2 linked regions of the Saccharomyces cerevisiae S288C genome follow. The main gene of each other region encodes a partner of the protein of the gene in region 2 in a complex. Each region holds a gene or a part of one and is shown on either strand. Other genes may lie near its edges. A codon is read from its position in the direction of its gene.

Evidence for each region. Proteins that work in one complex are often made in the same cells at the same time.
Region 1: the proteins of CHS5 (region 2) and ARF1 are in contact, whole or in part, in a crystal structure (PDB 4Q66), measured with the Saccharomyces cerevisiae proteins. Residues at the interface, in NP_013434.1 of Saccharomyces cerevisiae: Thr92 (codon at 2,316), Arg119 (codon at 2,235), Lys133 (codon at 2,193), Ser135 (codon at 2,187), Gly136 (codon at 2,184), Met168 (codon at 2,088), His214 (codon at 1,950), Asn235 (codon at 1,887), Asn236 (codon at 1,884), Ile237 (codon at 1,881), Pro238 (codon at 1,878), Ile254 (codon at 1,830), Val255 (codon at 1,827), Tyr261 (codon at 1,809); in NP_010089.1 of Saccharomyces cerevisiae: Arg73 (codon at 903), Asn95 (codon at 837), Asp96 (codon at 834), Arg97 (codon at 831), Ser98 (codon at 828), Arg99 (codon at 825), Ile100 (codon at 822), Pro131 (codon at 729), Glu132 (codon at 726), Met134 (codon at 720), Glu138 (codon at 708), Lys142 (codon at 696).

What each region holds. Positions count from the first base shown.
Region 1 is NC_001136.10:114,762-117,439, reverse strand, and holds ARF1 (Arf family GTPase ARF1), read right to left. Parts: upstream 1,120-2,678; coding exon 574-1,119; downstream 1-573. Other genes in the region: NUS1 (ditrans,polycis-polyprenyl diphosphate synthase), read right to left, coding at 1,641-2,678. UniProt on the Saccharomyces cerevisiae protein: GTP-binding protein involved in Golgi vesicle trafficking. May modulate vesicle budding and uncoating within the Golgi apparatus. May recruit the lipid transfer protein VPS13 to Golgi membranes.
Region 2 is NC_001144.5:785,816-790,252, reverse strand, and holds CHS5 (Chs5p), read right to left. Parts: upstream 2,590-4,437; coding exon 574-2,589; downstream 1-573. Other genes in the region: REC102 (Rec102p), read right to left, coding at 2,920-3,540, 3,638-3,811; nicotinamide-nucleotide adenylyltransferase NMA1, read right to left, coding at 4,135-4,437. UniProt on the Saccharomyces cerevisiae protein: Component of the CHS5/6 complex which mediates export of specific cargo proteins, including chitin synthase CHS3. Also involved in targeting FUS1 to sites of polarized growth.

The DNA.
Region 1 (2,678 bases), on a different chromosome or scaffold from region 2:
AATTTAAGCTACCTATTATGTGATAAAAAATTAAATGTAAAAAGTTATGGGTGTAGATATGTATGGGTCTGAGATTAATACAGTCCCCAGATTGAGAAAGTTTTCGTGAAGATTATTTGTTGAGTAACAACAAATCAAAGATCCTCTTCAGTCTTGAACAGTCAATTGACACAGTACCACACTATCATTCTGAATTATCATAATATGATTTCGTGTGTTTTAGGTTTTAAAAGTATCTTTTGAGAACACGGTGGACCTGAGAGCGAAACGTCAATATATGATTCACGCAGGGGTGCTGTAAAACAAATGAAAATGCGTTGTATAATATCCTAAATATATCATGTTTCTTTGTTTCTATATCAAATTGCCATTATTAGTTAAAGTAGTTTATACTAGTTAGGCTTCTTCAGTATTTTTTTATTTTATTATCTTGGTTTTTATTGCTTTTACACTAAAATCTATATGTGTTGGCTGGTGATCGTCAATAAATCCATCGACGTTGGCCTCTTAAGTTCTTAATCTTTATGTTTCATTTAGTTTATACAAGCGTATTTGATCCATATTCTAGAATTTTTAAGTTGAGTTTTTCAAACTGTTACTTAACCATTCCAAACCTTCATACAAACCTTCACCGGAGGTAGCACACGTGGCTTGGATAAACCATGGACGGTTTCTAATAGAATGTAAACCTAGTTTTTCAGTGATTTCAGCAGCAGACATGGCTTCTGGCAAATCTTGCTTGTTAGCGAACACCAACCAAGCGGCGTTTCTCAATTCATCTTCGTTCAACATTCTTTGCATAACTTCTCTAGCTTCACCAATACGCGATCTATCGTTAGAATCGACAACAAAGATAACACCTTCAGTGTTTCTGTAGTAGTGTCTCCATAGAGATCTAATTCTGTCTTGTCCACCGACATCCCAGACAGTGAATGAAATGTTCTTATATTGGACAGTTTCAACGTTGAAACCAATTGTTGGAATGGTAGTGATAACTTCACCCAATTTCAACTTGTACAAAACGGTGGTCTTACCAGCACCATCAAGACCAACCATAAGAATACGCATTTCTTTGTTACCAAAAAGGTTACTGAACAACTTAGAGGCAAACAAACCCATTTTTAATTCTATTAAACCTGTTTGAGTTCTTTCTTATACCTTCAATGCCAGAGGTTCCAAAAAGTTTCAAAACAAAATGAACTTTCTATCTAGTAAGACTTATAAAAACCACCTCGATAAACAAGTGGATCGAGAACGTGTCAAAGATTCCGTTTCTCTCTCTGTTTTTCCATTTTTCGATTTTCATTTTTTTTTTTGGTTTGACAAATACAAGCCACCTCGTTATATGTGATTTGCAACGCGAAAAGAAATAAAAAGGGAAGGGTAATAACATGGTTTTTCTACAATAAACTGCTATCATTACGGTATTAGTGGCTTCTTGAGAGCTTATTGCGTGACTTTTTTTACTAAACTATTGAAAAATGCAACTAAGTAGCTAGCTTAAAACTATTGCTATCATTATCATTATTACTACTGTTATATATGTGGGCAATGACTTTCTTAAGTATCAGACGAGAATTCAACTGTGCAAAATTAAAAGGTTGAGCGAGATACTTATCTTTTCGTTTAGCTCTTAAGTATCATTTACCAACATTCACTTTACATCCTGCGTACTGTCTTAGGCCGCGGATGAAAACCGAATATATGACTTCGTTGTTATCTTTTTCCCAATAAAATTCGGTTAATCTAATATGCCAAGGTGGGAACCCTTGTAAATCCAACGAAGGCCCGAAGTATAACAGTAAATCTGGTTCGGGTCCAACTAGTTGTTTCAGTTCTGAATCAACTAAATCCATTGTGATGTCAGAAACGCTCAATTCGTTAACCGCACATAACTCAGCCATAGTTTTGGTCAGATCGACAATCGTTTCTCTACCATCTCTGTTAGACAATAAAGAAATTTCAATAGCAATTTTGTCCTTTTCTTGGTTAGCTTCTATCTCATTGCCTACATCAGTCTCGGTTTCAATTCCGTCTAGATTGTAGAATATCTTGTTAGAATGAGGTATTTTAACAGCGTAGTTTGGAACATGAGCTGGCCCAAAATATTTAGCCAGGTTGGAATGAATTTCCATTCTCAGCTCTGGAACATTTCTTTGTAATATTCCATCGTAATCGTACAACATCAAATGTTTTATACCAGCTGAAACAGTCCAGCAAACAATTTCACTCGCGTCATTTAATAAACCTGTCACACCGCCGCCAACGTCGCCAACTGGCTTGACTTCCAAGATAGCGGCCAACCTTTTAGGAATTTTTTTCAGAGGAATAACGTCCTGTCTAATCAACTGTGGTGTATATGCATGGTTGTAGATGATACTGAATATTCTTAGTTTCATTTTATTATATTGGTATTGACCGTACCGAAACAACCCGAAGCAGATGTATAACAACACAAGTAAAAACTTGTAAAAAAGGTATTCAAATTTACCTATTCTTTTACTCAAATCTTCTGTCTTTTGCTTTTGGACTCCATTCGTCTCATTGTTCACTTTCTTCTGAGGGTTCTCATCGGCGTCTGCAATGATACTTGTAACGGCCTTTAAAGCTCTGGTTTTTGAATTAACTTTACCGCCCTTTAAAACACCAGATTCTGGAGGTGGGATGTGATTGGAAGA
Region 2 (4,437 bases):
ATGTCTTTATGTTCTTTATGACTTTGTTAATTTGCAGATTATGAAAGCAAAACGGCAAAAATAACGGGTAAAGATTGATTCAAATCTGAAACAGCAAATTCATTTACCATCCCATCTAACGGTGCTCCTTCTGAATGGCCCAATGCAAACTCCTACAAAAAAATTGCCATTTTTTTGCACAGACCACGCCGCTCAGCCTCGAGAAACATTCCTCGCGGCATTTCCGTGAGATCTCTCAATTAATTTCTTTTTTTAGATTTTTTTCCGTTTTCCGTTTGAATAATTTCGCGTTTTCGTAGAGCGCGACGGCCTATAAATAGACAGATTTTGAATTTCCTTTTCGGGCTTTTAAGATTCACTCCCCAATTTTTAATAACGGACATTTCGTGCTTGGCGGCTACTGAGTACCCCTCTCAAGAAAATGAAGTGATCGCCAAAGCAGTTATCATATTTGTAACTAGTTATACATGCTTACATATACACAGATATATAAAAAATAGATTATATTTGCTGAGGGATTCTCAGTCGAAAAAATAAACGTGCGTCGTGGAACTCATTGAAGGCATCCATTAATCATTTCTTTTTCCCTTTCTTCTTATTCTTCTTATTCTTCTTCTTATTACTGTTGCTGTTGCCAGTATTTTTTTTAGCTTCTTTAGTGGACAAAACGTCATCTGTATTTACTTCGGCTTCCGTTGTCTCTTGTTCTTCCGTGACGGCACTGCTTTCAAGAGAAGCAGAGGCCTCAGTTTTTTGGTGGGTAGTACTCTCACCAGAGGCAGCCTCCTTGGAAACGTTGTTGATATCGTCTTCTGCCTCTGAACCTTTTTCTTCTGGTTTTACATCTTCATTGGATGGCTCGACTGCAACACTTTCGGTAGCATCTTTAGGTTCGGCTTCAAGTTCTATATCTTCTTCTTGATGTCTTGGAGAGGCAATGTCGGTAGTAAACTCGTTGGTTTCTTGTACGGGTTCACCGGCATCCTCCACAGGTTCACTGGTATCTTCCACAGGTTCATTGGCATCCTCCACAGGTTTGTTGGAATCCTCCACAGGTTTGTTGGAATCCTCCACAGGTTTGTTGGAATCCTCCACAGGTTTGTTGGAATCCTTCACAGGTTTGTTGGAATCCTCCACAGGTTCATTGGAATCCTCCGCAGGTTCATTGGCATCTTCTATAGACTCATTTACTTCTGGAGTTTCAATTTCAGCTTCTGGACGTCCAAATTCCATTGCTGCATCATCTGCAGGTTCGTTATTTTCCCCTGCACTTTCTGTGGTTATGTTGTTTTCAGCTACTTCTTCAGTCTGTACAAATCCATTATCAGCTTGTTCGTTAGAATGTGTATCGGTATCCTCACTTTTCTGTCCCGTTGCTTCTTCATTTGGAGAACTTTCAGCCACAGCTTCATTCGGTTCTTCTACCACGGCTTCTGCGGAAGAGTCCGCTTTGTTTTCCTCTATATTGGGAGTACCAACAGGTTCGCTTTTCAAACTTCTTACGGAGGGGTTGACGGTTTCGATGGTGGTTTCATTCTCCAAAGCCGTCGAAGCATGCAATGGATCTTCTACAGGACTTACTGGGGCAGTTTCATGTCCACTCTTTTCTCCTTGTTCCTTAGCTTCTGAAGGATTACTCTCATTGTCATTAGGTGATGCAACCTGTTCGACATCTGTTGTGTCCTCGGGCATCTTATTTTCATCCGCTACTTCGGCTACCGGCTCATTCTCCTTTGAGTACGAAAGTTCTTCCTCATTAACTGGTGGGAATGTGTAGTTTTTCAGTATACTTTGATCTGCATCTAAGTAAAATCCTCTAACACCAACGATTCTTTTCTCAACCTCACAAGCTCTCACCCATTCCGGTCTGACAATTGGTATGTTGTTATGTTTTGCCCTTATAAGCTCTTCATTGCTTTCTTCATTGTCTAGATCGTTACAGACAAAATGCGTAGTATCTATCGCAACATGACGTTGTAAAGGTCTCGCCCCGATGTGAGACAAACATTGGGATATCTGTAAGTCTGAAATTTCTTTCAATGGATCCAATGGACCCAAACATACAGTGATACCAGACATGTCAGTCATCTTATGTGTACGCAATATAACCTTTTCAGACCATAATGTTCCTGACGTGGTTATCAGTTTCAATTGAAATTCGTATGGCGTATCAACGGAAAGACCGGATATTTTCGTGGTAGTCACTTTGAATGGATTTGGAATTACCATTGAACGTATTCCCTTCCTATAAAGGATCAGTGATTTCAATTTTGCTGAGCCAAGTTTCAATGGATCCCATGCTAGAACACAGCTCGTTTGCGTAACGTTAACAATTTTCAAAACTGGGCTCTCCGGTTTATGGGTACCATACTTCTCCAAAATTTTGGCTTGTATACTCTTAAAATGATTCCTTTGTTTTTTTTCCTCCTCTAAATTTTGTGAAACTTGCATTTTTATGATAGATCCAGCTTTAACATTTTCTGGTAATAATACTGTAGGAAACTCAATAACATGATGATCCTGAGTAGTCAGTAACGCCAATGAGGCATCCAACTTACCTACTGTTAACAGTACATCAACTGAAGACATTATTCGCTACTCGACCAGGTTCTAAAACGGAAACGTAACATGCAAGCTAAACCGCGATAACATTTAGCATCTACGCAATAAATAATGAGGCTTTAGAAAGGAGAACTTGAAGGGCCGACCGAACTTGTTAAAAAAGAAGTGCAGCTACATAATTTCCGTCTTAAGTGACATCTTTTTAGTGGTCGACTCGAGGCTACTGGAAGCAATAAGATAAGGATATGGCAATAGCTTATAAACGGTATCATATGAACATAAAGCGCATTGCATAACTATTGTTAACTAAAATTTTAATTGCCCAAAAGTATTTGATTAAATTATATTTTATGCATGCTACTTATTGTACGTTACAGCCGGTAAGGAAAAAATTTGAAAATTCTGAATTGGAGGACCTCTTCTTCGACACAGAATTTGATACGCGGTTGTTGAAGATTTGTCTTGGGCAATCATGTTAAGCATTATTGGAAGAAGTACTGAATTGCTCGTTAGGGCGTAGGATATCGGAGCGAGCGAACTTTGTTGCCACTTCAATCGGAGCCTTGAAATCATGGAGAAGACCATCGGGTATTCAAATTCCAATTGAGACACTATTAAAGAGGAAAAATATTCATTAAAATGAGGAATAACCTGGCTTATTTCGACATAGTTTCCCTCTTTAGAAAAAAAATTGACAGTTGTTGATAACTCGGAAAGGTAATAGATTTCAGGATATCCTTTGGCATGCGTATGAAGCTCTCTGGGTTTGCTTATGAACGTACTTATCTGAGCATCCGTTAAAATTGTACATTTTAAACTGAGAATGACGTGGTTTTCTATGGTGCTTACATCTTGAACTTGATAAAACAGTTGTTCCTCCCAAAAGCGAATACTTGAACCTACAATCTCGCGCAATTTTGTAAACAACTCTTGCTCTTCCGTAACTAATCGATCGTTCATTTTAAAATTCAGTTTAATCTTCACTTTTCCTGGTACGAGTGACAAAGCTACCAGTTATTATAGTTAGTAACGCTTCATTCACGGATGGGTTTTAATTTTGCTAGGAGAAACATACTTTCAACATTCCAGGTGGTAGCAGTGGAATATATAATGAATTAGAGTCGGTTGATTCCGGTCCCTCAATGCGTACGGTTGAAGTCCAAGCAGATAACAATTTTCCTGCCTCATCATTATTTACAGCGCCACAACTTTCTAAAAATACGGTCAAAAATGTGATATCTCTTGCCATTAGATTAAATTTTGAAATGTTGGAATCCAATGGTGAACTAACGTGCTGTTGCGCTTATTTCTTACTGTTTGTTTTCCTTCCATTTTTTATATTTGGTATAACCGCTGAAGGTTATAGAAATTAGCTCTTTAAGAGAAAAAGGCGAAAAAATTAGTGTAAAAGTGAATTATACTACAGAAAAAAAAACTATACTAAAACACAGATAGGTAAGTCATATGTCACATTTCTACTCGCTTGTACCCTCCAATTAATTCCTGTAGGGGAAAATTGGAAATTGTAAAGAGAAAGATGAAAGAAAGAACGAAGCAATTCCGGACGGCAAATCATTCTTTGTTTCCAAGAACTTGCTTAACAGGTTCGGTTTGGTCCACATATAGTCTATGTTCTTGGATATACCTGATGACCGAATTAGGTAACAAATATTGTACAGACATGGCGCGTCTGATAAATAGACGAACTTTCGTGGAAGAAATATCATTATAGATGAGTTGCTTGATGATAAGAATATTCCTTCTATGTTCATACATAATATCATGGGATAACAAAAAAGACCTTACATCAGAACCAGTACGTTCGACAATCAAACAACCGTAATTACCGAGAATGTGATGTAAATCGGCGTCCGC